Drosophila melanogaster: one gene and its partners. The gene in region 1 interacts genetically with each later gene. Each region holds a gene or a part of one and is shown on either strand. Other genes may lie near its edges.

What was found.
Region 2: of zip (region 1) and sds22, changing one suppresses a phenotype caused by changing the other (phenotypic suppression), as found in Drosophila melanogaster (one study listed by BioGRID).
Region 3: of zip (region 1) and raw, changing one suppresses a phenotype caused by changing the other (phenotypic suppression), as found in Drosophila melanogaster (one study listed by BioGRID).
Region 4: of zip (region 1) and kermit, changing one enhances a phenotype caused by changing the other (phenotypic enhancement), as found in Drosophila melanogaster (one study listed by BioGRID).

What each region holds. Positions count from the first base shown.
Region 1 is NT_033778.4:25,007,184-25,015,734, forward strand, and holds the start of zip (zipper), read right to left. Parts: upstream 4,281-8,551; 5' UTR 4,159-4,280; coding exon 4,129-4,158; intron 4,026-4,128; exon of another isoform or gene 3,917-4,025; intron 3,434-3,916; coding exon 3,197-3,433; intron 1-3,196. UniProt on the Drosophila melanogaster protein: Nonmuscle myosin appears to be responsible for cellularization. Required for morphogenesis and cytokinesis. Necessary for auditory transduction: plays a role in Johnston's organ organization by acting in scolopidial apical attachment.
Region 2 is NT_033777.3:17,388,812-17,395,921, forward strand, and holds sds22 (sds22), read left to right. Parts: upstream 1-2,782; 5' UTR 2,783-2,896; intron 2,897-2,945; exon of another isoform or gene 2,946-2,969; 5' UTR 2,970-3,117; coding exon 3,118-4,098; 3' UTR 4,099-4,209; downstream 4,210-7,110. Other genes in the region: Brf RNA polymerase III subunit, read right to left, coding at 1,685-1,789, 1,849-2,217, 2,279-2,351; lute, read left to right, coding at 1-169; CREG (cellular repressor of E1A-stimulated genes), read right to left, coding at 4,680-4,789, 4,862-4,943, 5,005-5,448.
Region 3 is NT_033779.5:8,735,890-8,744,252, reverse strand, and holds the start of raw (raw), read left to right. Parts: upstream 1-3,592; 5' UTR 3,593-3,839; coding exon of another isoform or gene 3,840-3,868; intron 3,869-8,363.
Region 4 is NT_033778.4:8,151,468-8,159,550, reverse strand, and holds the start of kermit (kermit), read left to right. Parts: upstream 1-2,896; 5' UTR 2,897-3,137; exon of another isoform or gene 3,138-3,496; intron 3,497-8,083.

The DNA of each region.
Region 1 (8,551 bases):
CAAGGCTTGCGACAGTGGCAGAAGAAGCTAAAAGTTCGCCGAATCGGAAAATGCTATAGCCGCTGCGACAGTTGGTGCGTGAATCACGATATTGGAATGCCCCACAAGAGAGGAATTGGAGTTATCGGTCCAGGGAAGTTGTCCGAAGTTACCCAGCGAGGCAGCCGCGAGAGGCTGGGGCATATGAGGTCATCAGTCTCGGATTCTCGCTCAACGGCATCTCGGGCATTCCAGGCAATCGGTGAAGCGAAACCAAAGAAAATATATCAACAACACCTAGATGTTGGTGATGATCAGACAGGCGGGAATCAAAGTAAGAATGTTGGGAAGGAGTGCATTCCAGAGGGGAGCCCCCGATTTGGGTTTGACTATTTTTGGGTGCCCAACCGCAACCTTGAACATGCCAAGGTATCGGCCGAACAGCACACATAAGAATATTGGTGATTTTGAGATATATCTGTGGCCATTATTTACTCTCTGGGAGCGTATGTTTTTCGCCAACTTCTTTTGTTTACACTATTCCGAAAATGTAAATATGAACAGAATAATGAATAGATGTCTCCGGTCCCCCTTTTTCCATCACGATCCAAATGCGAACGTTCGATGGGCCCATTAAAATTTGTTACTCTTTTATTTTATTCCTTCGCTTAATCGATCAACGTATATGCATTGTTGAGGATGGAAGTGGAGATGGAGAGGGTAAGAAGCGTATATTACACATACGTGATACGAGGCGCAGGTTCGTTGACCGTAAACCGGACGGACGAGAGTCGAAAGCTGGCTACGTTTGTCATTGCCGTAACCGAAAAGAAAACACACACTCGCGCGGCACGGGCATCTCCGCCAGAACCAATCGCGGCACGCCAAAGGGCGGGGGCGCGGAAGCGGAGTGGGAGTGGTCGCAAACAAAGTCCAAAGTGGTTTCTTTGGTTATAAATACGAGCAGCACACATACAAGCGTGGAAGTATGAAACGCAGCATGTGTGGGTGAGCAGAGACCCCCTAATGATCGCCGTTCGTTACAATCGAATCGATTCTCTGGACATGACGAAGGTTAAGCCGACTTCAATTTGGCTAACAATATAAAAAGTTTTCAGATTGGTCTCGGGAGTGAGGCGTTCAGGAATGCCTGAACAAAGACAGCGGATAAGAAGAGCATTAGCGCTGAAGAAGAGGGAAAAAAGAAAAGAGGTGTAAACACATTTCCACCGTGTTCACGAATTCCAAAGTATTAACTTTTCAATTTCATCGTTGGACAATGGAAAAGTAAGCTATGAACTATTAAAAGCATTTAAATAGTTTCAAGATCGCAAATATACATTAACCTATAACCCGAAACCTTCAATGTACAATATATCTAATCCCCACCAATAAACTTGCTCTCTGTGCAATTGATTCGATGAATCATCGCTGTTCAGCAAACAACATGAAACGAAATGTAGCCACGAACAAAAGGTCTCCTTGTGTATCCACCAGTAAATTACTGAATTTGGATATCACGTACGTGGACTGACGCCGCCATTATTCAGCGAATTCGCTTACATTTCGAAAAGCTGGAACAGTTGCTGGAAACGAAACGAGTGTTGACACAATTGGCGAATACCCTTTTGGACGGGTCCGTTCCCGTTAAGACGTAGCTGTATCTGTGGACATTCCAGCGGAGCAACAGTTGCGCTATATGCAAATTTCTTAACTATTTCCACCCGTCTCATGTGCCGTTCGTCAGTCGCAAAGAAATTTTAGCCTTTAGACAATCTGACGGACCACTCATGACAATCGAGCGTTTCGTTATTTTCGTTTTATTTCTGGGTTTTATCTCTGCCGTTGTCTTTTTGTGAGATTCCATTGTAAAGTAAATGTCTGTTAAAGTGATCGCGTAATTACACAAAAATGTGAAGTTGTTGGCTTTTGTTTTCGATGTTGCTTTTATTATACGAAGTCACCCAAAAGTGCTACCATTCTATGTACGGAATTATCTCTGGCAAATACAGCAATTACGGGCAGCCAGGGGAGAAAGGAGCGGTTGATAATTTTATCTGTTTACGTTTTTTATGGTCTTGAAATTAAGTCGTTGGAATGCAGTTGAATGACACCTGAATGAAATCGCTTTAAACTGAAGAAGAGAATAACAAGCCACACCGAAATTAGCAAAACAATCGGCTTGTTATCATAAGGCTTGATCGCTAGCAGTCGACCAAAGTTTTGAATTTGAATTTATAGGCCAAGAGCGGGCGCCCGAACTCCGAGGGAAGCGATTCTTTGGCGCAATCTCGGCTCGTTTCTTTGCTGGCCTGGCTGTGTGGTTGAGGCCAGAAAGCCCCACACAAGCAAGTCCACACCACAAATACCTAGCCACATTGAAAACTTGTTTTGGCCCGCTCTTAGTGGGAACTGCGAACTGGGGCCATTCCTGCTTCCACTCTCCCTCGGAGGTGAGTCACTGAGTCGAAGAGCGTCTGCATGCAAATTGGTACCAAATGGTCGCGGATTTGACCAAGTAAGAAGTTAAATGTGTCACACTACTACGGTGAGATTAATTCAGCATCAGCGCAGGAGAAAAGAGTGATTCAGCATCGACGCCAACGGATGTTTACCCAAGTTTATCACCGCGGTGCGAATGTAATGAAAATTCAAAGAAGTTGGGCCTGTTCAAAATTAAAAATAAACGGATCGGTGAAGCGTGATTCATGACCAATCGATGAGTGAGTCGGATGGCTCAAAAGGTGTTGGCTGATAAGAAGCGCAAAGCCGGGGACAAACACTGTGAAAATTGATTAGAGCACGTACAGCTAGGGCTAAAATATTATCACGATGTGTCGAACACACTATGTTCTATAATAACCATTCACTGCGAAGTAATACTTAGATATTAGATAGTTACATGTAGCAATTTTTTACGCAAAAGAATATGAAAATTAAACGAAAATTAAGTACATTTGGTAATTTTACAAAAAAAAAAAAAAAAACCATAATGGGCTAATGACTACCGACTTCACGAAATAAACAGCGTTATGATGTATCGACTGTATTTTTATCTCAGTTGTAGCAGTTCCTGTTGCATTTAGGCTATCTATAGGGTCTATTCAGGTAGTTCACTGAAACGGGCGTGGCTTCCGGGGTAGAAATCCCGTAGCAGAGGTTGCGTCCAGAGTAGGAACATGCTCTACGGGTAGGCATTACATTTAAGTAGACTCACCTGGTTCTCGTGTGGCACCCACACCAGACGCTTCTGTGTCCACTCGGCCTGCGTGGCCGGATCGTTGAACTGGTTGCGCTCCACCGAGAGGTACTTGAGCTCCGGATCGTTGCGATCTACTTCCTCCGACATTTTGGCGGCGATCTCTAAATAATTCCTTGTCTGTCGGTAATTAGCTGCTTTCGGATAATGGATATTGGATACTGGATATTCGCTTTTCGGATGCAATGCACTTTTCTGTCGGACAAAACAAATCGATGAGAACAATGAGTATGTTGCCTCGCTCCTCAGATACAATATTTCGCATTTATCTCGCGTTTGCGTTCTTTATCTCGGAAGTGCGGCACAAAACGGAGGCGGCGAGAACAGCGCGCGGCGAGAGTTTCAAAAGGGAGAGCGCGAAGGCGAAAGAAAGACGGAGAGGAAAAAATATGGCCACACATTTTCATTTTCTTAAGCCAAAGTCACCGCTGAACGTAGAAGAAGGGGTGGTGAAGTAATTTAGCGGAAAAATAGCGTTACGTAGCAATTAACCAGTTTGCATCTCCTAAAACTGCAGCTAAACACTATCAGAGCACCTTTTCACCTCCGATTTCGGATGTTTCAGTTTTCGGAGCAGGTACAAGCGGCTCTTTTTCTTCCTCTTCGTCTTCTCTCGCTTTGCTTCCCACTTGGTTCGTTCTGCAACACCGACACACAGCACGGCTCACACACACACACACATAGATCGCACTGGGAGCCAAGGTTTCGCATATTCGCATATTTCGCACACAAGTTTCGGTTTTTATGCTCCCATTTCCCCGCGTCAGCACAGCGTTTGTGCAAATGCAGCCAAATTCGACCGTGCAGTTTCAGCTGGCGGCGTCCCGACGCCGGCGAATAGGTCGCTGCATTCGCTGGATGCCTGTGCACATTTCCGATTTTTTTTTTACCGATTTTAATGCAAGCCAGGCGCTTTTCATTTGTTTGGCGACAGCTGCACCCACACACACTCACAAAGACTTCGACCGCAGTTCCTGAGCACGTCTTTTCGCTTTCCCCCTTTTTTTTTCACTGTTTTTCGCCGCTTGCCGTTTTGCCGACCGAGTACTTTTCGAGTTCGATGGTAATCGATGCCTTCCGATTCCATTCGGACATATCGATGCATCGATATGTCGTAGTTCACACGACGGCCGCGGCAGCGCTTTCTGAAAACACATACATCGATATGTCAACACTGATTAAAATTCTACATATGGATCGCATCTAGATTTTGTTTAAAGCACACACCTGTAACATTTTTTCAGGTCGGCCATTGTATTCCTCTATAACAGAATATCTAAGTTTTTAGCAAAGTATCGCATCAGCTTCCTCTGGTTCATGACTGCACTTAAGATCGAAATATTCGCGGCTTCAAGCCAAGCGGTGTCGATTGGAATCGAATACTTCCGGAATAGAAATGAGATTAAATTATTTTGCCGATTTCACTCACTTGCATATTCAGATGTAGCAAAGGATGTTTCCAACTCACTTTTCAATTTATAATATTGGTCAAATTAGTGCAAGCTAAGTATCGTATATGTCGATTTTACTTTTGACATATACGTAGTTCATTTAGTTGGACCGCACGACAACATCAAAATACCTTACCGCCTTTTTGTTTTTGGTGTTTTGCGGGGTCTCGCGTGCTGTCCTCTCTTCGAATCAGTTCTTGGTAAAACCAAACTTCAATAAACCGTTGGGTTAATGCGCGGATGTGCGGATACTTTCAGTTAATTTTGAATTTTTCGAGGAACGGTGAAGGTCCGCGCTTGAATCAGTAAGTCCAGTTCCGAGTATCACAGCCAGATGTGAGTGCTTGGCGCCAGTCGCAATTAAATTGACTTTAATAAAATATCTGGCGGGCTCCTTGCGAACTTTTAATTCTGGGGAAACGGACTTGAGTGATTCCAACTAAGAGCAAGAACACAGTTCCTTAAATGAAGTGCTACTTCTGGCAGCGTTCTTGAGATGCGCGCAGCATCCTTGGCAATGACGTCATTCGCCTGCTGACCAGTTTCTCTGTGTTCGTGTGTATGTGTGGCGAGAGTGCGTATGCGTGTGTATGTGCCGAAATTAGAGCGCAATAGCGAATTCAATTTGCATTTGCGGAAGAAATAACTGCAAACGAACAGAATCGATTGTTGTTGTCGCGAGTGCTTTGTTAAGGATAAGAAGAAGTCGCGACTAGTTCCGCAAAACTCTCACGTTTTGTCTATGGTTTCTCGTTTCCAGAATCCTAAGTGAGGGACTCCGAATAGGATTCATTGGATGACAAACTAACGTGCAGCCAGGAATTATCGATTCAGGTAAGCCATCGTTTCTCCTTGAAGCAACTGGGTCAGACAGCGATAATAATTGCACGTGTAGTTCCTGGTTTTCCACAAAATTGTCGTGGTAAGCTGAGCCACCCCATCTTCCCGAAACCTTCCAGCTTTATGCTGATAATGAATTTTTAATGTGCGCTGAGACTGCTAGTAGAAAAGAAAAAACAAACCCACATAAATTAAACTTGCAAAATCTTCAAAGGACAGAGAACTGCGTCGGTGCTTCCATTCCGCTTTTTTGGGAGGCTGTAAATTATGAAAGACCAGACAAGCGGTAGACAACAAGGTTTGCCCGTTCCCAAGGGATCCCGGGGCAACATAATCAAAGGCCTTTATTACTGGGCTGGAATCGGATGGGGCCCGTCCGGAAACCATGCCGCAGACGGCTTTCCTGGCCCGGAGTCCCGTGACAGGGCACGTTCGACCTAATAAGCATACGTCGTTGAGTAAATGGGGGCCGTGGAACTTTGCATTTACGACTCGGCAGAGCTGTAAGTGCTTCCGGGCTGCCCCCCGAGGGCAAGAATCGATTTTCGATGTTAATCGAGTTGAAAACCCTGCAAACTCGGCTGTGTTTGTGTCCTGTTCAAAAGGGTGTTTCACAATGACCAGACATGGAGGCCCTTAAAGTCAGTTCCAATTTCGCCTGGTCAGGATAGAAAAGCAGATCTCTGTAAGCTCTCCTGCGATCATATGTATTCGTTGTTTTATTTATATTAGATTTGCTCATTTGCGTGGTCCACTCGCAAAGTTCTCGACTCCTCCTCAGTCCGCCGTCAAAACTTGTTTTATATTCAAATTTTGATGCTTCTGCTTGGGTTCGATTTGTTTGGAGATCGCTCTTCCCTCTCTCGTCATCTACTTATTTTCGCCAATTTACATAATTTTAGACCGATTTATGATGGCACTCGATTGTTGCCGTTCTTTCTGGGTGCTAATGGTGTGTGATATCATCATCCAAACAACACATGTTTGCTAATATATTTACTTCTTGCTTTAATCACACCTCGTTACTGCGATCTTAGTGACAGAAATGTAATGTACATGTGCAACTCATTCATGAACACTTTCAACAGCTGAATATATTTACGTTGCCTGGTAACATGATTGGATATTAAAAACTCTGAGAACGTCCCCTGCATATCTGACATTTCATAGCCTCAAGTGGGCCCCATTGAAGCTTGGCGGCATTGAAATGGCGCCAAGTTGTCGTTCGCTCGTTTGACGCCTCCTCTCCGACCTCCTGCTCCTGGGGAGGAAACCTATTTGACGCCACACGCACACAGCTGAGCTGGAGGGCAAAGGACACCGGCACGAAAACAAATAAATGCTCAAGGAGTAGTCAAAGGGGGAAGGACGCGGGGCGATAGCAATTGTCTGCGAAGGCAGCGAAGGGGATAACGAAACCTTGGCTTGATATCAGGATTCAGGATATGAACAAAAGTTGGCAGTTAATTCGTTTCGAAGCCGTTGCCCGCATTGAGGTCTCTCTCAGATCCTGTTGAAGGTCGCAGGATTCGTAGGAGGCACGATGAGTCATCAGTTCTTTAGTTAATGGCCCAAAATGGAGAGCAACAGCTCGGGGGAACGTCGTAAATTTCCCATTGCTAGCAGTTGTTGATTATGAAATTTTATTCTCTGCCCAATTAACTTGCGTCGAGCACGCGATGGCCCATATAGCCTCCCAAGCTCGCATAGATATATGCATAAAGACCGATGTTGCTCAGTTGGGTTTCGGATTGCGGTAGGTTGACTACGATTCGCTTTGTTTATTTGACGGAATGGTGCATGTAGGCCTGGTTCCGGGACCTCCAAGCACTCTCAAAAATGAAAATCGATTTTGTTTGATGGACGCCAGGCATGAGAGGTCGTGCACTCCGTCGACAAGGCAATTTTAGTGGGGCTGATGAGTTGGGTTGATGGGGGTTTTCTTGACTAAGGGTTACAAGGAAATGATAGTGAAGCATATTGGAATATATTAAATTGTTTCTCCTGCAGAAAAAATTGGAACATTTTTAATTTGATTTGTACATTCGTAGATTTTTTTTCCGAGCGAAGATGACAATACATTAAACCTAATTGAAACACACAAATTCCTGGCTCAGTGGTGGCGTGTGATGTCATCATATCGAAGATGTATATGGGAACCTTGAACCGAATTCTCCTCTCATCTATCGGCTCCCGCGATCATGACTCAGTTTATAAATGCTCATTTATTGCTATTTAAAGTGATTGAATCGGCTCCGTTTACGGCATTTATTCTCCGTGATCTTGAAATGTGCGTCTTTATTGGATTAAATTGATGGGTATTGGATTATGATTGAATATCATCGATGGTAGCACATTATTGCAAAATAATATCCGAATAGTTTGGCATTGCATCTGCAGCATCCTCTATTTTAGTCTAGTCTTGGGTTCACTCTGCACGCAGATTTAGTGTCTGGGTGAAAACCCTAAATGCCATTCGTGGTTTGAGGCAACCAGACAAACTAGAGCGGGTCGCAGTCTCCAGGACTTGACTTCTGAGCCGCTATGGGAGAATTTCGTGAATGAATCACGTTCTGTGGGATTTCGCTTTCTGGCTCAAGCTTTTCTTACAGCCTGTCGAGTGCACGAGAACAAGACGAGCGTGAGCGCGGCGCTGTAAAGGAGACTCCGGATTCAGTCCAAGAATGGGCACGAGGACGACGATGACGCGCAGAGACACTCACGAAAAAGGAAAAACGGAAAAGGCGATAGAAGCCTGTGAGCAACTAACAGCAGCTGCTTCTTCTTGTGGCATTGTCCTCTGCCGCCGAACCCATCCATGCCGGTGCCACCCAGGGGTGGTTTGGCTCAGCACTGCTCGGCGTCTGGCCCTGCTTACAGCATTACACGTTCCCGGAGCCGTGAGCCCCTGCTCTTGTTGCCACTCGCAAATCGTGGCTTCTATTTTTCGGGCAGTACATCCTGCAGACTGGCAGCCGGGGGGTTGGAAGCGGCATTCGCTTATTTTGTTATTTTATTATTT
Region 2 (7,110 bases), on another chromosome or scaffold:
AGCAATGAGCTCGCCCACCAATTCACTGTGTCCCACGCCAATTGGTGGCAGTTCCTCCAATGCAGGAGCGACTTCAACCGCAGCAGCCGGAACAGCTGTTCCGAATAGCAGCAATGGATCTGGCAATAACGCCAACAGTTCTGGGGAGGATGGCGACGGAAGCACCTGATGCGCACAGCTCTATTGCGCCGAGTGGCAGGGAGCCTGTTACTACCGCCAACAGCAGCAGCAACAGAGGAGACCAACACAACAATACAAAACACAGCAACCGCAAAAGATACAGATACAAAATCGAAACTCATGGGTTTTCAGTGCAGCACAAGAAAGTAAATTGGAGTTTTAGGCTCATATATATATATATATATATATATATATACCAAGATAGTAGAGTACTCTAGTTTTCATAATAGTCCTATATATAAACATATATATACACGTCAAAGCATAGACACATATATATACACCTCGGCAGTGCGTTTTAAAACTCCAAGACGATTGTCAGTACGTGATCATCTCAAAAAAAAAAGTCAGCCGATGCAAGTCAATCGATATAGGAAATTTGCTATAATTGGAAAGTTTCCTTCGATATCCCAAGTATGTTAAGCAAGTGAAATCAATGGTTTTGCAGTTCTAAAACGCACTGCACATAGTCTGTTGGTAATGCATATAAAGATATTTTCAAAATCGAAAAAGTTGATCATATACACTCTTAACTTTATAGATAAAGATTAGTAGTTGACTCGAAAACTTAATACGTTCCACGACTTAAGAGGGCGGGATGGGGTCATATGGACGCTAATAGAGACGCATAGATACATGCAATAAGTGAAAATCGGGCAATCAGTCAAGCTAGCGTTAACCAATATTCTAAAGACAGTTAAAGGGAGAGTGGACAAAAGCTAATACGATATATACCAAACATATTTTTGCCAGCATATACCTAACATATACACACATCTGATCTGATAATGATAAACTATAGTCCTAAACACTTCGAGGGAGAATAGGCCATGTTAATAGTTGCATACGACGAATTTGAAACCCAAGTTAACCAGTTAACGAAATAGCAAACAAAAATGAAATCAAGGGATCTTGTACGAGATGCGCACAAAATCCCCCCTACATATATATTCAAATATTAATCTTGTAGTACGCATTATATCTATTTCGTAGTTGTTCCATTATATCTCTCATACATACACAATATGCCTTTCTACTGATACTAAGCCCCGTACTTCTCCTGTGCATTATTATAGCCTGCTGAGCGCAACAATCAGTTTTACGTTTGTATTTCGGATTTCTTTGGAAATTGTACTGATTTTTTGCTTTTGATAAGACAATTATGGTTTTTATATACATATATCTATATAAAATGTTATCCTGTATTGATTATGAATCTATTACCATTATGTACTTTAATCAAACAAAATACATTATTAGATTTTTGCGAATTTACTTTCTCAGAGTTGAAGATTTTGGATATTTTGACATCACGTAAGTAGTGCATAAAGAAAACAGGAACGAGTAGAGTATTGTTAAATACCTGATAAAAGGAAAGCAAGCAAATCTAACAAACCCAACAAAATATTTTTAAAAAAACAAAAATTAAGAGTGGAGCTATGGCTTGACTTGACTGTGGATTGGGATTTAGGTGTATAGTTTAGTATTCACAACGTTCACTCACCCAGAGAAGGTATGTTGATACAAAGGGCATGCGATAACTTTAAGTAGGTACGACCAAGCTCATAGGAACAGATTTGCTGTACGTCGCTGATGTCGATGAGGAGATCTGTGAAGATATGAGCAGTCAATAAGCTACTCTTTAGGCAAAATGAATGCACTACTCACGGGAGGTGCCCTCTGTCCTGCAGGTCATGTACACGCAAGCGGCGTAGATGTGGGTGCTCTTCCTACCGCGGGTCAGATGCCTACCCAATGCCATCTTGAAGAAATTCAGAGCAGTATCTGCATAGTGCTGGGATAGCTGCAGCTGCTGGCAGAGTAGTGTGATGTCCTTCTTGGCCTTTTTGATGGTCACCTCGCGGGATTCGGTGCCCGATCCCACCTGAAACTTGCCGTAGCCATAGTTGGTGGCACCGCCCGACGACTCGGCGGACACAAACTGGCCAATTGCGGCTGCTCCATGGCCAACTTCCTCGAACTGCACTTCGGAAACAATGAGGGAATCCTCCAATACCGAGCCGCAGTTCATGCAAACTACAGTGAATGGGTGAACGTCGTTAGTGTCATGGATATGGGTCCTTGGATGTCATTATACCTCGATCTCCGCGAGCATTGTCTTCCTCGATCTCGTTGGATCCGCAATTGCGACATTTTAGGCCCGTAGACATGATTGTTTGTTCTTTGCTTTAATAAACACTGCCACCTGCAACGCTTCGTTTTTATCCGTTGTTTTGACAGTTTAAACTACTTGTTTGCTGTCATTTGAAAGCCATTTTCGAGTCTTTTTTAAACAATTTGCAATTTGTTGCCAATTGAATCAACACGCTTGGAAAACATCTGATTGAACCCCGCCGGCGTTGCTTAACACTGATGATAGAAGAAGAAATGCTAGAGATGCGCATTTCTCAATCAAGAACGACATTGGCACAACTGCTTGAAAAACTTAAAAGAGATATTAAAATTGTAAAAATTACGTAAAGCTGGTTCCAAAAATTATGTTCTAGTTTATTTGGCAAATTATCAATCAATATTTGTTTTTCATTTACATTGGAATATATAATAATACAGGTTTAGCATCGTGTTCTTAGGTGCACATCTCTAGTAGAAATAGTGTTAAAGTGCCGGTAAGGTGACTAAGTATTTTGTTGACATATTGAACAAGTTGGACCAAAAGGAGTATACAGTCATCTTGGACTTAACTTATAAATATTAAGTAAATATTTTAATACATATTTATTTTAAATTTACATATTTATATTTACCGTGTGTTCTTGCTTTTGTAACAGTGTCAAGCTTTGACGTCATATTTAAAGAAAGTCACCCCACTTTGTTCCACCCTGAGCAGCGGAATAAACAACAAGTCAAGTCAGCGTTCAATTTTCGAAAGTCAACTTGAATTAAAAAAAAAGAAAAGCCGGTCAAAATATATCAGTCATGGGCGATGCTGATCGTGCGATGAACGAACCAGAAGCCGCGAAAACTGTGTCCGGAATCCAGGTGATTCCCGCCGAGGATGTGGCTTCCATTGAGGATATAATCACAATCGATCCGGACTGCTACGAGCTTGATCTGAATCATCGCCGGATCGAGAAGCTGGAGAACTTCGAGCCGCTGACTCGAATCGAGCGCCTGTTTCTGCGCTGGAATCTGATCAAGAAAATCGAGAACTTGTCCAGCCTGAAAACACTGATTGAGCTGGAGCTGTATGACAACCAGATCACCAAGATTGAGAATTTGGACGACTTGCCCCACCTGGAGGTGCTGGACATTAGCTTCAATCGTCTGACGAAGATAGAGAACCTTGACAAGCTGGTCAAGCTGGAGAAGGTCTACTTTGTGTCGAACCGGATAACCCAAATCGAGAACCTGGACATGCTCACCAATCTGACCATGCTAGAGCTGGGGGATAACAAACTGAAGAAGATCGAAAACATCGAAATGCTCGTGAATCTACGACAGCTCTTCCTGGGCAAAAATAAGATAGCAAAGATCGAGAACTTGGACACATTGGTCAATTTGGAGATACTCAGTCTACAGGCCAATCGCATTGTAAAAATCGAGAACCTTGAAAAGCTTGCCAACCTCCGCGAACTCTACGTTTCGGAAAACGGAGTGGAAACCATTGAAAACCTCTCGGAGAACACCAAATTGGAGACCCTCGACTTGGCCAAGAACCGGTTGAAGGGCATTGCCAATCTGGAAAAGCTGGAACTGCTCGAGGAGCTGTGGCTGAACCACAACGGAGTCGATGACTGGAAGGACATTGAGCTGTTGAAGGTGAACAAGGCGCTGCAGACCATCTACCTGGAGTACAATCCGCTGGCCAAGGATGTTCGCTACCGCTCCAAACTGCGCGACATACTGCCGCAGCTGCAGAAGATTGATGCCACCCTGTGCAAGGTGCCCGGTACCTAGATGGAACCACTGTAAACCCCTTGAAAGACTAATCCACGGCGTTGCGCCACTACATTTATATCGATTAACTTTGAAAAACTGCGTTTAAAATATACATACAAATTAACCACTAATGGTTCTATCTACGAATTGGTGGGTGCAGTGATTTAGTTTGCTTTCAGAAGAAGGTATATTTGGATAAGTTACTCAAAGCGTGAAGTTTACCTAATGAGTCAGATAAATTATCCATCTAGGCTACCGCCTAACATATAAAACTAAAAAGTATTTTATATATACACATAAATAATGTAAATTGAATCTAAAAAGATGAAAACATTTTAGTTAAACAATTCTGGTTTCTCTTAAACCAAAACAATACATTTCAGTATGTCAGAGTACATTCAACGGAATGTATTTTTATTTATATCAAAGTTATTGTTCTATCGATTGAAATCACAGAGCTCAACTGATAAGTGGCTTTCATAAAGGCCTTTGTCTTCATTCTTTCCCTTTGTGGCAGACATGTTGTGCAAATATGCTTATCATTTCATTTTTTGACAAAGTATATGAGGCGTCAGTTGGATTGCTTTTGGAGGAGTTCATCAATTCGAAACAGCGTAATAGTCAGAGGCGCTCACTTTATGAGGACCTCCATAGAAGTCCAGAACAAAGATATTGCTAATTTCCAGTTCGCAAAGGTAGAAATTGTGAGCTGTAAAAGAAACAACGTATTTATTATTAGTACATACATATCGAGCTCTTAATGAGGTTCGCTTTCACCAACCTTTTACCCAATTGATGGCAGCTGGATGACGCCTCACATAGGCATCCAGCGATGGCTGATAGCTTTTGTCGCTAGGATCCATCTTCAAATGAGCCAAAACATTCTTAATCCATTTTAAATAGGATTTAATTCATTTTTCATACCTTCTTCACCTGTCCACTGATCATGGAACGGGCACATGTAGGCTCCATGGGATCCTTTCCGCCCTCCTTGCATCTTAGGGTCTGCTCGTCACTGAACAGGAGTGTGACCTTGTTGTCCTTCTGCCAGTCGGGACCAGTGAAGTCCAAATCGGTTAGCAGGAATCGAATACGTCCAGTGGACCTGTTATTAGCATCGCTGTCGTCGATGGAGATAATGTTGACCATGGGATACCCCTTCACCCGTTCGTTGGTGGAGAGACTTCCCACAGCCGCCCAATTGGCGCGATGGACCAAATCTCTGGCGATCTTGGCGTGATTTAACTCTTGCTCTCGCTTATATTCTCTAATTATACGCTCATCTTTCCGGCGGGAGTAACCGGAAGAGGGGTCCAGGCTCACGAGGGCCAAAATCAGGGCGAATAGTAGGGAGTGAAAGGTTTTCATGGCTAGACTGCAAGTATAACGATGCGGTTCTGAAAGATCACTGAACACTGGACAGCTGACGGGTCAGCATTTATGGACAGGGAATTCGCAATGACTGGCTTATCTTCCGGTCATCGTAATCGCGTATAATCCGCACTTTTAGTACTCTCTCTGATTCACGATGTAGGCCGTAAACAAAGCGGACTACGGATAGCGTTGACCTTTTACGCCTCTTTCATTTTCTCTGTGCGCCGCATTCTGCCAGTAATGCCCATATATATATGTATTTATGCCTACCTGGAGGATCTGGACTAATGGCCCCTGTCGGTACTTCTGCTTTGCGATTTGTTTGTCAACTGACTGGGCTACTATTGCGCCTTTATTATCACCTGCTTCGAGTACAAAGAACCACAACCAGCTGTTTTCAGCAGGTACCTCGGATGCGGTGGGGTGTATGTGACGCATATGTTCGTGCATTTTTCTCAGTTCTTCTCAGTCTCTCAAAAATCCATTAGTGTCTTTTATTACAAGATGATTTTAAATGCGCCCCATTAACTGGTTATTTTGAGCACTTAGTCAGTAATGTATGCAGAAAGCAGCGATAAATTGTAAATAAAAACGAATATCTAATTAATTAAAGTTTGGACTTTAGGAATAAGAATAATGTGTGTGGTAAATTTTAACTTTCAAAGAAAACAGCTGCCGTAAAATTAAATCACCATTGAGATTAAATAGTTTGATGTAAAGGAAAATAAAATTTAAGAATTATTTTAACAAATTCCTTTTGGGTAAATTGGCAAGCCGAGTAAAAACGTAACACCAAACTAGTTAGCCATTCGTAGTCCGAGGGTACCAACCGAGCGATCATCCAATAACGGTGGCATACAGCATTGCCAGCTTGAATAAAGTAGACTGCTATAAAACTAGGCTCGTATAAGCAGATCTTGAGCAGAGATTGGTGTAGTTTAACATTTTGTTTTCTTTTATTTTGCAAATATGTAGGTATGCTTAAATATGATTTTTGTTTTTAGGAGTATCATTATGCTTGACTTAATCATCTTTACCATATAACTTGTACATTTCACTTTCATTTAACTTGACCTCAATTAACATTTATTGTTTCTATTTGCGATTGGCTCGAAATTTCGCCAAACTCTGGTTCTGAATATCCACCGTGTGTGTTGTGTTTTCATTATTCTAGTGTGCGATTATTAGTTTAACATTTATTTGTATTTCTGTTACATTTACGTTTTTTATTTTTGTATATTTTGTATATACTCATTTTTCTCATATTATTAGACAATTTGTGTTGTAATTTAATTACGTTTGCCAGATTAGTTTACCCTGCCGCATACAGTTTGTTTGAAAAATATATGTACATATCTCATGGAGTCCTGAAATCAATATGTACGCGTAGATCTCGAGTGTTTTCTCAAAAAATAGATGTGTAAAAGTTGATCGTACGTGTATAGTGTAAATATGTTTGTATGGATGTAAAACATTTAAAGTTAGCTTCGTTGATTTATTGATTCTTTAAAGATTTCTTTAAAATGTAAAGCCCATTTGCGTTGCAATGTTGGGGGGAGTTTTTTTAAATGGTATTTTTCTCCCGTTTTATGCTTACGATATAAAAATAAATAAATCGAATTTGTAACTTCTTTTTGAGCTGATTCAATGGAGTAG
Region 3 (8,363 bases), on another chromosome or scaffold:
TATTTATGTATGCTTTGTAAGAAAATTCGAGTTTCAAATACTCACCTAAAATTGTAAAAGAAAAAGTAAGTGCATTCTTATATATATTGTCATTTTTCAGGAAGTTTCAATATTTCAAAGAGAAAGTATTTTATTTTATTAAGAAGTGTTTCCATCTTCGGTGCGACCCAGTTGGGCCACCATTCTTATATATTTTTGTGTCTTGTGTTGTGTCTGCTTGTCGTCTACAATTTCCACATGTGGCTTTTCCTTGAAAGGCTTTTCGCTCGGGAAAACTTTTCGCTGCAGCTGGAGGGCACCAATAAACGTCAGACGCGTGTCAGGGCGCGTCCTTTGTACACTGACACCTCCACGGCTGATTTGATCCAAAGTTTGGAGAACTTCCAAAGCGACGGGGCTCCAGGTGAACAGGTGAACAGGATGTACTTGGCCACTGTGTGGCTGTCGCCTTCGATTGGACAAATCGGTTAAGTTAGCCGTGGGAAATGCTGCGTTTCAAGTGGCCAAGTGGAAAGGAGTCACAATTGGTAAGAAAGAAATGGAAAGATATTAACATTGGCTACTCAATAAAACTCCGTTTATGCAATTAAGCAAGTTAATACAATAATTTTAAAAGATACAATCTCATTGCATGCGAAATCTAGTAATTATATTGATTATTCAACCATGTCACCGCCACACTTTGCAGATTAAGGCGTTTCCAACTGCTTGTAGCTACACAACATAAATACTATTTAATCAGCACACACACGCGTGCAGAATTAAGAAAAAAAAACGAAATCTTTTTGGCTAATACAATTAAACTGATAACTTAACTAAATCAAACAAGTCGCTCGACCAAAAACACCCACTGAAAAGTGTCGACCCTTTTTTTTCCCGCTGCCTTGTGGTTGTGGCGCGACTTAATTCCAAGTCCCCTGTTTTCCTCGAACTCGGCGAAGAGCTGTGAATCTAGAACTGAAAACTTATGTCAGTGGCACGCGTCTGCGGCACGTGACCCCGACATGAAAATCACTCTCAAGATCGCTGAGGATGGCAAATGGATAGGGCTGATGGTGACGAAGGAACTGGGCACTGAGTTCTGGGTGGTATTGTCCAAGTGATGGAGGTGATGAATGCCTGTGTGCAGATGCTTTTAAATTTAAATCGAATCAAATTGATTTGCGCACAGTTCCAGTTTCACTTTTTTACCCACGACCGCCTTACACTCGAAGAAGTCTTTAACTTAGAATCAAAGAGCAGGTGAAAAAAAAATTATTTAAAAAATATATATGTATATATTTTTTTTATATAAGCAACAATGTTAAATAATGTATTGTAGATATTGTAATAAAATATTATTTTTCGTATCAATTTGTAAAGTTTTCTATTTAAGATTTCGAGTTTTTCCTAGTAATATGTGGTATTAATCTTGGATATTGACAGGCACAATATATTCTGATAAAAATACTTTTTAAAACATAATTTTTTGAAGTGTAGTATCAATTGATATCGCCCTTTTTTGGAAAAGAAGAGTGCACCGTGCTCTGACCACGTCCCAGCTCCATTGTTTAGCCATTTGACAAGTGTTTTGACAATATTTATTTGAGTTGCTACAAGCCACGGCAACGGCCACGCCCACAGTCCCGCCCCCTGCGGCATACCACCCCCGCCTCCCTCTTCGCACACTAGAACCACTGCCGCTGGGTAATTTGATTTCCTCGACGCTGCCATCATCTGCATCCTTGACGTCGGACACGTTTCTGCCTAATGGAGTTGCTCGAGTGGCGTGAATTTCAATTAAATTAAATCAAAATGTTGCATTTTTTATTAAGCCCATTAGCGGCACACACGGAAAACCCGCCCCCTCAGAGGACCGCCCGCTGGCCCCTAGTTGGTTAAATTAAGTTAAGATACCACCTCGTCAGTGCGAAAAGAACTTGTATCTTAATGTGCATAATGAAGTGCCAGACTTGACTTGCCATCCAGGAACACCTGGATGTGCCAATATAAATCCGGTGACTGCACTGATCCTACTGCTGCGAGGAAAAGCTATCGGGAAAATCCCAGTTTAGATGAAAATGGGGCCATTCAATAACTGAATTGCTATTTTTGCTAGCAAAATGATTTTAAGGGATTTACTTATTCAATTCATAATTATTTATAAATAGCGAATTCTTAATTTATAGTTTTATATATACACACCTTTTAAATGATTTATGTAAGTTTCTTATTAATAGATATTTATTTACAAGAAAATGTTAAGGAAAAGGCTGCTGTTTTTCCGACTGTTTCTGCGAAAAGCCAAATATCAGTGCACAAGAAGAGTTGGTGGGCGAAGAAAAGTGGAAGTGGAGTTTCCTATTGTTGCACATGCATTAAGAGTAATGCTGCAGTGCTCGGAAAATGCTGGAAAGAGGGTGAAAATGCTACTTTGAGTGGCAATAAACAATGCATAATGAGTTGAGAGTCGCGTTATTATTGTTGCAGCCCGTGGCTGAGACTGTTCATTACTCAAACAGGTAATTTAAATTAAGCCAAAACAATACGCCAAGGTGGCATTTAAAGTAGGTGCAAAACGCATTTCGCCATTAGGAAATTGCCAATTAAGAAGCAAACACTTCTGGGTCCATTCATTACTGCAACACTTGCAGGCAAATCATTTAATTGTCTTTTAAAAATATACTTAAATCAGCAGAGGCGGCAAAGTATTACAAGTCTTCATGCACTTTCTCAGATATGACTAGCCACAAGCACTTAATTCTTGATATCACTTGGAAGTGGCACTTCCAAATCAAAATTATATACATTTAGTAAATAAGAACTATTCGAAAAGACATTTTTCATTTAAAAAGGGAACATTAAGATTTTACTAATTTTTCTATTATCTTAAAGAAAAAATTTTCTAATTTCCACATTCCGTATTTTGTTAATACAACATTTCATTAATAATAATGCAGATATACCCACGATGTCAGGATTTTAAAATAATCTTGAATAATTTGCAAAAGTTAGATCAGAGCAAATATAACATAGATTTAAATTTGTGATACTGTTACCTAACAGAATTTTACAATGTTATTGAAATGTTAATTTTAACACAAAAAAGTGCTCTTCTGCTAATTTTTACATGCACCCAAGACAACAACCATCGAATACAACTGAGTATACGTTCGTTAAAATTTTGGTGGCAACGCTTGTATTCCTAATCTATTAAGATGGCAAGGCTCGTTATCTGAAGAATTTACATTGGCAGCATCAAACATCATTAACTTTGAACTGTTATACAATGGTGCCAATGTAACTTTTTCTCGACAAATGAATTTTGTACTTATTTACCCAAGTGTATATGGAAACAATCAGGTACCGAAAATGTGAACTCTTACAATATATTTTACCTCTTTTTCATCTTAAGTTGTTTTTTTATAAAAGATATCAGCACTGCTGCAAAGACAGCATGCTTTAATATATAATATATATTAATTAAATAAGTTTCACAGTTTTTACGTGGTGTTAACCAACTTACAAAATTCACTCACAAATGTTAACATTCTGTACAAGCATTAGTGTTACCAAATACTCGATAGTATTTTCGCCGTTCCACCAGCTGGTCACACCAGAGACGAATTTAGAAATCTAAAGAGAACCCAACAGTTTCCTAATGCAAATACAATAAACTAATTGTTTAAAATGTGACAACAGTGAACCAAATGCTTGCTGAGTAATAAACCAAAGGATGTTTTGTTTTTTTCTAAAACGTGCCAAGTGAATCGGCTCCACGCAAATGAGAGTGCGGTCTGAAAACAATGGAGCTGCCGTAAAGAATTGATTAAACAAAATAGTCGAGAAGAGAGCGCAAAATGCACAAAATGGTTAAATTATTCCTCAGGTAATTTCAGTCCCAACAAAAACAGCATGTGCCAGATTGCTTTCGTGCTCTTATTGCTGTTGTTGTAGTTCTAGACTCTCTCTTTGCGCTTTAATATTATGAATGACGTAAGCGCGCCTCTTTGGTAGCAATACAAAAGCAATAACAACAATTTGGTTTTGTTGCTTTTGTAAACAAGGAAAATAACAGAATGGTTTTGTACCGCTCGCGTGTGTGTGTGCATAGGTGAGTGGGGAGCTCACTCACCTATGCACACACACACACAAACGCAGGTAAAAGTGGCGTCGTTGGATTTTTACTTGGAAAACGTGTTCGAACTATAAAGAGAAATAGTAAGAGAGAGCTGAGCAGTCTAGCGCTCTTTGCAATGTTATTTCTTTTTTTGGTCAATGACCTAAGCTTTTTCGTCCGTTAGTTGAATTCGTTTCTTTCGCCAATTTCCGTGCTTTTGTGTGCGAGTTAAAAAACTTGGTCTATTTTCACAAAAATCATTGTTTACACTTTGTTGATGTGTAGGTAATTTTCCCAGGCTTTCTTAGCCTCATTTTTCAAGAAAAGGAGTAAACACTAAGTTGGAGGCCAAAGTTGTGAATGGTAAAAAAAAAACGTAATTTTTAAAGAAATTTAAAAAAAAAACTGCCAGCAGTAAACAACGTACAAATCAAAAGAGAATAATTGAGAATACTATAATTAATAGTGTTGTATACATGAAATGTTCAAGAACTTTATTTCCCGAACACATAAAGCATGAAATGAGTCTTCATAGTGTTTCCTTATATCTCTGAAAACAAATAGTATATCACTCGATCATCCAATTGCCTTGCTGTTGTGACATCTTGACAGTAATTAAGTTTATGCACTCAATTGTCACAAAGCCGGAAACAAAAGTGCACAAAGATGTAACATGTTGGTACATTTTTTGCAATGACAACAGCACGCAAATTAGTAAACATTACCGGCCAAATAACAATGCACTGTTTGGAAAATAAAGTAAATATTATGAAATAAATATTATTGTTGTTATACAAAACAGAAAGCAATTACGGAGAAGCAGTAACTGCAGCACAGGTATATTTGCATTCGTGATAACTTTTTGGTAAATAAATTATCTAAGCAATAAAAATGTTTTAAACTTGTAGGATTTTATTTTGGCTTATAAACATAAATACACTTAAAAATAAGTTTTAGGTCGCTTGTTTCAGTTTGTTTCAGAATGTTTTAAGAGCACCGTATAAAATTTTCGAAATTTTCCACAATCTTGAACGGTACTTCTGCGTATTAAGATTAATTGTTTGGCCTTTTATCAGTCTATTTCACTGGAATAAATATTTAACTAGTACTCAGATTTTGTAGGGCACTCTATATGCGGTGTACTTTGCTGACCGAAAAAAAGAGAGATACAAATGTTGAGAATGCGAGGGAAAACGCTTTTGTGATCTTCTTGATTTAAAAATTTTAACGCCAGTGCTGACCGAGCAATTAAAATGTAAACAGGCGGGAAATGAATAAGCGTGCCAGGGAAAAATAAAATGAAATCCCAAAATATTTACAATCATGCAGCAGCAGTTGCACATAAAAACCCAGGAAGAGAAGAACGGAATCTTAACGTGTATGCTTTCGAAAATATACTTGTACCTTAAAATGGCAAATTGGCAATAAGAAACCGACGCGACATTAATATGGCTAGGTAAATACAAAGGCATCATTACCGAAGGTCGTTTTTGTTTGCGTGCGATAAACTTTTTTTCTTTCGACTTTATAGCAAATATTCACGCATACAAACAAACCCGAATGCTTCCCTGTGTTTGCGATTGGTATTATCTGTGTAGGCCTTTGTTATCCAACCATTTGCTTATCTGGGCACGGCTGTCAATGCGTGTGTTTGTGATGGATACTTGATTGAATTGTTGTCCGTATGTTAGCGCCTAAAAAACAATCGACAGCCGCTTATCAGCTGGCAGAAACATAAATAAAATTTCCTCAAACTGAAGCCGAAGGTAAAATGCTCTCTAAATCAATTGCTATTATTAAATAGTATTAGCTTAAGAAGCAAGAAGGTTACGTTTCAAGGGTATACAATAGTCGTTAGCCATGTCATCGTAAAGTCACTGCCCCTCCTCGCACACATTCAAACAGTTTGTCAATCAACCGACAATCGGTTGCCAATCAAACAACAAAAATTCGTGGGTGAGGTGAGTTCTAGATTTTCTTTGGTTAGAGGATGGGAAAATCTGTCTGAAAAGTGGGACAGCAATTGACTGACTAATCGAACACATTGTTTAAGTCAATTATTTCCATTTAAGCTACATGATTCGTTTCGAAAATATTTCACAGTATATGGATGTTTTGAATACTTAGTAAAAATATATAAAATTCGCAATACTTACTTTCAATGTATTTAAAATATCAATTGGATTGGACATAATTTACACTTGTTGCATTCCTTTAACCTTATCCACAAATTAACAAAGTCCAAATTGTTTTCCATTTGAAGTACAAATATTATTGTTTTGTATTTTGTTATCTTATCTAATTCTTCTGAAATGACAAGTTATCCAATAGCAAATATTTGATTACTACAAACTATATTGTAATTATGCAGTAATTTTGTTTTTCCCAACTAAAGATGTTAGGAAAATAGAAACAATCACAACTAGGAATCACTTTCTTATCTGCATCTTCTGTTGTGTTTTGTGTGTCAAGTATAAAAGTATCAACAATATGTTATCCCATTTTATCTCCTCCAATTAAATACCCAAAATAATGGCTACCATTGTTAGTACGTTCAAAAAGTGTAATCCGCGATTATCCGAAACCGCAATTAAAAATGTTTTCACCTTGTTCTCAACCCGTGGCCAGCAATTAATAAGGCTTAGATGGATTTTTGGCCAGCATACAACCCCAGATAACCCACAGTCGCATGGCATCATCGCGAAATGCTCATAAAAGGCGCGTCTATGACAGCATCTCCTCCGCTGGTGCCGTGCAAAATTGAGTATTTTTGGCCAAAACAACAAGCAGGGCAAATAATACACAAAAAAAAACCAACAAAAACCTAAAACAAAGAGCCCAAGCAAACGTCTTGGACATGTGCGCAAAAATCTTTTGAACTTTCGCATTCGAGGCGGGCGAAACAAGTGCCAAGAGCAAACCCTGACATACATTATAATTTGTAGCAACGCCCTCTTTTTTTCGAGACCGATTTTTTTTAATATAGATATATAGTTTTTTTGCGGCTATTTTGTTCACCTACACGCGCGCCTAATCCCATTTCGAGCGGCATCAATAAATTGTCGGCCTGGCAGATATAGCCAGATTTCTATTCGCATTTTTAGCTGTTCAAATAGGTGAGTTTTTTTGTATAGTATATATGGCCACCTATTTGGTAAATAGTCTTTAGAACGCCCACAACAGCTGTTGACACTCACCCACGAAATGGAAAAGGGAAACGCTATGGAAATAGCATTACCTGGTATTCCTATTTTTGGCCAATACCCAGGTGGATCCACAGAAAAAAGTCAAATTAGTGCCGAAGGGAGTCCCATCATTAGTTAGTCACCAAACTCTCGGTCAACTACAATCTATATTCGCATTTTTTCGGACATGAGTAACCGTGATAACTAGTAATTGGGAGCAAATCGGTTTGGACCCAGGTGACTAAGTCACTTCGATCCATAGAAATGTAAATGCACAGTCCGTTTAGGAAAGCTATGGTCTTGCAAACCAATCGACCGTTAATAATGAGGCCTCACTGTTCATTAACCCATTTAAATAAATGAATTTTTGTAAGTTTAACTCGTAAAATATTCTTGAAATTTAAAACATTAACGAAGTCCATTTAAATATTAGTATAATAAGATCCTGGACTTGGCAATATAATTTTCAAACGCACTATAGATTATGTTGACTTTCATTTGAGTTTCCATTTGATGGCAAAAACAAAAGAAAGCTTAAAAGAGAAAGTATCGATGCAAAAACAATGGTATCAATTTGTAAAATTATGACTTAAATCAAAGATCTGATAATGGCAACGTAATAAAATGGAATGAAGCAAATAGATATATTTGAATATATTGGGTAGATTGGGGTAAACGCAACTGCAGCTATGTTGAAATGATATAAATTGACTAGGTAATACCTGATAGTGAACCGTTTTCTAAATTTCTTAATTTGTCTTTTTTAAAAACCTTTTTTTTATTAAACCAATTTAAGATAAATTTATAAATAATTTGAATGTTTAAATGACCACCTTTATGTTATACCTTAATACCTATTATTATTTATTTATTTGGTGTGTAATCAAATTATTCCATCGCTTTGAATGACTTTTTGGCCTGGTCAACGAAAATTATAAAACAATCGAGAGTTGCCCACGCGCAAAGTGAGTTCGGTGGCGTCTTCCTACTCAATTAGGCGGCATTGGTCGAATTTTCGCCTTTTGATTGAATGTTGTTTGTTTTGAACTTGGGAGATGGGCTGCGAATAAAGAGAGGGC
Region 4 (8,083 bases), about 17 Mb from region 1:
TTGGCAGGCTTTGGAACTGAGCTGTTTCTGAGTCTACGCCGCTCATCCGGTTTATACATTTTAATAAAAATTTTCTTAGATTATTATTTTAGAAGGACTATTTTCAAATACATCATAATAAAGATAAAGTAAATGCAGTAATGGGAATGGTCAGATGTCAGTTCTTTAAAAAAATTAGTTGATTCAATTCCATGCTAAGTTGGGAGATAATCGATTAGCCAAAGGCTCGGAATTTTAAAATCCTAAACTGATCCTTTGGATTCGTAGGAGATTCCAGTCACCACATGGATATGCTTTTTCGGAAGTTGCATTTTAATAAATAACTAATTTTAAACATTAAAACTGCACTGCACGCACATACAAGACAACATTGCGTATACGTGATTATGAGTTACATTTTTAGGATCAGTACGTAGAAAGCAAATATTTTGAGGGGATTTATGTTTCAAAACATAGGATTGTGTTTTAATGCAATATGAATGATTATTAAACTGTAACATAATAAAACTAATATTCTATTTATAATAATTATATTATGCTTGCATTTTGTACATTGAGTTTCAAGGAAAATGGATTTCGTAATCAATTAGTAAACTAATATATTTCCAATAATTATATTATTAAATTATATTTCATTTGTATAGTTCGCAGCAAAATGGCCTATTGCACCTTTTGACCTTTTTGCACCTTCGGGCGTAAGTTTCTATCTTGCGATTACTGAATTTCGTATTAATAAGACATCTTTGGTCGAAATGATATGCAATTTGAATGCGATTAAAGATCTATTCCTGACATGAGACCAATAATAATGCCCATTAGCTAAATGAGCACATTGATGTCTCTATACATTTGTTTTTTAGAAAACTGTGTTCTGAATGCTCACTGAGTACTTTCGTACGCTCTCAGGGTGCGCTTCGTCACTACGTGAACGGGCGTCTACATCGATTAGATGATAAGTGAGGAAGACTGGAATGCCTAGATCGACTTGGCTAGTTATCCGGCTAAAAGCAAAAAATGAAGAGTGGCCCATGAGGGGATCGAACCCGCGACCTTCGCGTTATTAGCACGACGCTCTAACCAACTGAGCTAATGGGCCTTCGTGAGAGCGGCGTTCTGGGTTATCAATTTGGATTGGGGGTGCTTCTCTAAACACTCATATCGCTACTTATTTAAAGTCCGAATAAAGTGGATGTTATCTATGTATATACTGATTACCTTTTTGTATTCCAGCCTATTGGGTTATAAACAAATAGAAATATGTGTGAATATAAAATATAAAACAATTCGATTACAATTTTCAATTTCTTGGAAAGCGTGTTGCATGTTTTTTTATTCTTATCAGCAAAAAAGAAATGTAATAAGAAAGCCTGCTGAGACCACTTATTGCAATATCAGTCTTCGGCAAGTAGTCTTCTGAATCGGACAATGGAGTGCCACTAGACCATAGGAGTGCTTCTCCTGAGCTGGTTGGTTTGTGGCCACGCCTGTTATTATCCAAAACGATGTTTGGCCAACGATGGGAGTGCACCAAACCGGCGATTGGCATCGACCGACTAATGTATTCTGTGGACCCACTTAAGTGTGTTGTGAAATAAGGGCTCAAGTAAGTGAAATAAGAGCTCAAGTAAGTGCACTACAGGTTCACAGAGTTTGTACGCAGCTTGTATCCATTCTACCCCTACTACACCAGATGGAGAATCCGTCCCTGTCCTCGTTCTTTGGAGGAGGTTCCCTGATTGCCCCTGAGGTTGTACTAACGGCAGCCCACCTGTTGTTGTCTATACCTGGAGTCTACATTTGCATTTAAAAATGACATACAGCCCATCTGCTTACCTCTTCAAGGGTCGTCCATTGAGCAGACACACTGTGTGATTTCCGGATGGGGAAAGCGTTCTTTTAACGACTCTCAAATGTCGAGTATACAAAAGCAAATCGAGTTACCCATAGTAAACAAAGGAGATTGCCAGAATATGTTGAGGAAAACCAGGTTTCAGCTTGCCACCAGTCTCATATGTGTCAGCGGACAGAAGGACAAGGATGTCTGCGTTGGTGACGGTGGGTCCATCTTGGTTTGTTCCCCTGACGCAATCTTCGCTAGATATCACCAGGTCGGGATCGTGGCCTGGGGCGTCGATTGCGGCAGGCCAAACGTTTCCTCGACCTTCAAAAATGTGTCCATGTTCAGGAAGTGGATTGATCGCAACTTTCCAAGCAACTCGGTGGAACCGCTTAGGAACTGTATTCCTATCCACCCAAGAATTTCGTCCTATAAAATGAGATACATGTTGCTTTAAATCACCAAACTTAGCTAATGTAATTACATATATTGTATCAAATATATGTATTTATGAAATTAAATTATCAAACGGAGTCGATTTTAACCACCTGCTGAACTTCAGGTTAAATTATTTTTAAATTGAAGCTTAAGTCTTGGGTATAAATATTTATCAACTAAATTGTTATTTTTTGGTCGAGGAATGTCATAATATTGGGTGCAAGAGTTTTTTCTCTTAGACTACCATTCTGCTGATTGAAAGTATAATATATATCATTAGTCAAATGCAGTATGAGATATTTACCCCAGGAAATAAGCACATTTGTTTGATTTGTTCTTGTGTTCATTTCATTTCTTCATTTTCATTACAGTGACCTTATTAAGATTTTAATTTTTTATCCGTCTACAATTAGTCTTATTGTTGCTGGTTTTATATTTTCTTAACCAAAATAGTGGAGGCTAGTCAATGCTATACAAACTTGTCACGAAAACTTAAGTTCCTTTAAATCTGGTAAGTGCACCTTAACCGCCAAAATTTCAAACTCACCGAAAATGTTAAGCCACAAGTACTCAATAGGCCGATTGTCAGCATCGATGGCGGCATCGATGTTTCCCCACCGCGAACAGAGTGGCTGGCCACACTGGCGCTCAGCTGGCGCTCAGCTGGCGCAGTTGTTGTTATTCTTGCATTTCTACAGCGCGAGGTCCGAATTTTCGAGCGCAGCGCGGCCACAATTTTCCGGGCGTTAGTTAACCGAGACGACTAGTTTAATTAGCGGAATTGTGCGACGACGTCGTGGTTGAAATTCAATTTGAACGCCCAGGCGGTAGATCGGTAAAATCGCGACATCAAAGCACGAGAGTGAGTGAAAAGAGAACCCTGGAAAGTGGTCAATGTGTGTGTATTTGGCGAGCAGTGGCGGAGCACTGAAAAAACCAGTTAGCTGGCAGTGAAAGAGATTCAATAACGTGTTGGTGGGCAAAAGAAGAACAAATTGTTTCGAGTGTGCGAGGCGACGACGACGACATCCAACTGGTCCGGTACGAAGAAGTCCGCTTTCCTCGCTCATTAGCGGCGCTTTCCTCGGGCCCACGATCTGGAAGTCTGGAAATCGGCGATACCTAAAACCGGGCCATAGCCACCACTATCATTATCAACAAATTGATATACATATGCAATTGCAGCAGCGCGTCATCAGCACAGCGCCCATCGCCTAGCAGGTGCGTTCCGTACCGTCCGTCACTTTCGACATTATATTGGTCTGATCGGGTTTCTCTCTCTCTCTGGTGCGTGGTATCTTCTATGTATATACTATAACTATGCATACTATATATGCTCCGTAACAACACACTGCATTGTCTTTCGGGAATTGTTAACACCCCGCCCCGGTGGTGGAGCATCTTTGGCATCCATTCAGTCGGTTGCCCATTCATTTGCCTAACAGACTCTTTTCTGCGCCAACCGACGAACAAGTAAAGTGAAAGGCGGCGGCACGCGTTTTCCCATCTTTTGTATTGAATTTCGCTTCGGCAGCGAGGAAAGCGAAATCGTTCTTAGTCATCAGGACGTGTGGTGAGAGGAGGAGGGTGGGCCAAATCAACATGCAACCGCCTGGCAACAGGCAATGCGTCACAAAAAAACAAGGAATTTCAATTTCCAAGCTGGGATTACTAGTTAACTAAAGCAGACTGTAGTGCAGGGGAAGGTGGTGTTACCGGGGTAGAAATTGAAGGAAATCAAAGGCGATCGATAAAATAATAATATCGATAAACAACATTTGATGAGACGAAAGAAAAGATTCGTGGTTCAAGTTGTTTTACTTTCAGCCAGGCATTTTTAAAAACTTGGATGCATTTAAAACCGGCAAGACAGGCCAAAACGCTGTTGACCCACGGACCTTATCGATTTTTGCAGCTGCTGGGCGGCTAATCATTGGTTTTGTGGCGTGACAAGTGTTTCGGCACCACACCCACTGTCTGTATGTCAGAGGAAAAAAGCGTAAGCGGAAGTGATTTCATAGACCGAAACTCACCCCGAAAACTGAAACGCTGAAAGGGGCATTTCCGTGCTTTGTGGCCATTGCCTGCCCCAAGTCGCTAGTTCATTTTCCGCTATTATGTTGAGGTTAGGACTTTCCAAATCCATGTGATTTCCCAGGGTGCCGGCTTCTGTGCGTCGTCGCAAAAATATGCTGCACTTCGGGGGTGCAAACAGCATGCTTTTCGTTTTCGTTGAAGTTTCACGGCCGAATTGATTTTTCCAGCCTAGACATTACAAAATGCCTCGCCGAAGTGGCGATAATAAAGCGCCTTTTCAGTTTTGCAGCCAGCACGCACATCGGGGCATTTATTACCGCTTTTCCGTTTTCCCTCTTACAAAACTGTGAAGTTAATGCGGCCAGCACGTGGGTCTACGCACTGAGTTTTCCGTTCCTCAGTTTTCATCTGGCCAAGCACTTCTCAGCTGGCCGCCGAAAAGAAAGGGGCAACGAAAGACGCAACCATGACCAAAGAAACTCAAAACTCCAAACTTGAGCAATTTGTAGGCAAATTAAGGTGTTAACTAACCGTGAAGTTGGTCAGTGGGAAACCCATCGAAGATGCTCTAGCTTAAAGCTCATACAGAGCAATAAACAAGTGTTTCTTTGAAGATCTTCGATCTGCTCTTATAATCTTAGATAAGAAACTAGCAAAGTTGAACTTAACTGAGGCAGATAAGTATCTCTAGGTTTAACGAGTTATGATTTCTGGCATATTTCTCGCTGTGTATTTTCGGCAGACGAGCAGCTCGGAAATTGTTTGATCGATTCGATTCCTTCGTCCGCTTCCGCTCCGCCGCTATCGGCTGTTGCCTTTTACCCGCCCATTCGCCACTTGCTAACAGTTGTTTTCGTACGTGAGCAGCGCTCGGATAGGCAGATACTCCCCGTCAGATACACAAGATAGCTTCCTCTTCTGCCTGGATGCGATGCACTGTGTCCGCTCCGCGCTCTCCGTTCTCCAGCTCACCAAGCGGAAGCAACTCCATTTATGTAAATTGCTTGCGTGACATTTCAATGCGACGGGGCGCTTTATGAAAAGCTGGAGCGGCATGGTCCGAGCGGGATGAGCGGTGGCTGGGAATAATGGGTTGAAGAATCGTGGGTCTGGTCTGGTCTGGTAGCTAGGGCTGCCACGGGCTGCTCCGTCATGCCAACAGTTGGCAATCAGTTTAACTGTGCTTTTTATGGCCGTACTTTGCGCTTTTTATGCGCACTCATTGCCGCACATGTGCAATATTACTGCACTAACGTTTTTGCAATCAGTATCAGATGTACTCGGAACTGGTGTGAATGAATCTGCATGTTTTCCATCTGCGTGATGTTTCTACTCCGCTTTAATTATCCACAGTTCCTCAGTCGTTTCATATCATTAATACATGATTGGGCACAGCGATCAATCTTTTTGCACACTAAATACTTGTCTTTGCCTACAATCAGAAGTAATAGAAAGATCGGATTTTATTGTTTATCAGATACAAAAACTGGCGCTTATGTACATATATCTACAATTATTGTTTTTTTTTGCCACTTCCAGTTTTAATTATCCCGAATTTCCGCTCCGATTTCATCACCCGTAATTTGTGAACTGATGAAAACAATACAGCCTTCGGATTAACATATTTTGGAGAAACGTTACAAAGAGATAAAATTCATATTTGAGTTTAGATTGTCGGGCGGCGTAAACTTGGCCCAAAACAAACATTGCCACGGCTTTTCGGCTATAATTCGTTTGCTTAATTTGCTTTTTCGAGCTCGCAGTTCAGCGAGGTGAAACGGTTAAATGTTTTCAAAACTGCCCCAATGTTTTCCCTTCGCCATACGTAGATACTTAGATACATATGTATATACATACTTGACGTTGCGTGTGGTGCTCATTGTTGTTTGGCTGTGCATTATGCTAACTAGACCCTAATGTCGGTGCCCGGGTGTTTTGAGTGCTCCACATTAGTAGTTTTTGTGGAATATGCCCCATAAAGGGCCATTCGATATGTTTCAGCCAGGGCTGCGAGTTCATTGCACTGGATCATCGAATCGTGGAGCAACGACTCTGGTTCGGGACCATGCCAAATGCAAAATGTCAGCAATTTATGAATAATGTAGTGAGAAACACAGGAATCGCAGAAAACGTGATCGGAAAATGCCACAAAAACAGTGCATAAATAATACCAACATATAATTGGGCAGGGCGAAGCGACATTTAAGCTTTCGCTTCGCCCACAGTCCATCTGAATTATCTGTGGAAATAGCAAATTGGATACTTGTTTATATTAGCAGTGGGTCGGGTCTTCGTTCGCCAACTACAATCTTCGGTTTGTTTGTAATTTAGACTAACCGCTCGATGTCACTGTTTATTTATGCATTAGCATCACGACACAGGGAGATATTTTTATATATTGTCTTTCTAAGGTTTCAAGCTCGAATAAGCGATTATTACCTACAACACTGATTAAAATGTCATAAATATAAAGGCAAAACTTAAGTGATTTATATTAGTATACATAATATATGAATGTCAAAACTGATGGCTGTTCCACTGGAAATCAATAGAAATGGGGAAAGTAAATCTCTCTTCGAATACGCCAGATATTATTACATATTCATTTTATAATTATATTATAAATTTTGCATTTTTCTTAACCAAACGGACAACAATAAAGTTTAAACTGGATTAATAAAACGAACAGCTTTAAACTGAAATTTCAGTTTGAATATGTTTAACCTATGCTGAGTATTTTTCCAGTGCAGCGTTTTCTTCGATTTCATTAGATATGGCAAGCTCAATTTTCTGCTTGTCTCAGTGCCTTTGCCCACAAAATGTTGACTTTTCGAATTAAGTTTCACCGTTAGCAAAGATCATGCGGTCTTTCGCTGGATTCTCGCCTTTCGGCAGCGCTGCCGGCGATTTTCGCATTGAGTCGAAAAAATTGACCTAGTCAACGAAATGGAGATCTCCCCAACTGATAACTAGTTTGAAGAGCTTTTGCAAGCTTTACAAAAGCTTTTGCGCTCTCTTTGCAAAGAGAAAATGCTCTTAAAAATCAAAACTATTTTCTCTTGCGCTCTCTGCACCTCTAGTTTTGGCATTGGAATACACTACTTTTGGTTTTGTGGATACTACAAACAAACATTGAAAATAACTATAACCAACCTTTGGGTTCCCAAGGTTTACGAACAATCAAAACCTATACTTTGGGGATGACTGTTGAGCACAGATGTACGAAGTGGAATGGCGATGGGTACTTAAATCAAGGTTCACCTCTAGTTGAGGGCTCACCTTTCCCCTCATTTCCCCCTTTAGTAAAAATAATATTAAGCAGATAATTACGTTGTTTACAAACCTACGAAAACAAAAAACAACTCGGGTGTTTGACAGTGCGCTCTAATGAATAAAAACAAGTGCAGCGTCGATTGCAGCAGAAAACAGCTCAATTGATAATAACAACTTTATCGTGCATTACGCAAATGAAAAATGTAATACCATTCTCTGATACTTTATGCCTACTTTGTAATTTTTGATACACCCTTTAAGCAAATACATACAATACAGAAAACCTGTTAATTGTTGGTTGTGCAAAATGTATTTTTAAACATCTCCGTAAATTATTGGCGGCGAAGTTTTGATGATTTAGACTTCATTATTCACAAATTTTTCATTGGAAATTCCCTAATTGACTTCACATAAACTACAGTGTACTTTAATTCAAAACAGTTGTTTCAATACACAAATTATAAAATGATGATTAGGTATTTTTGAGGGACCAAAAGT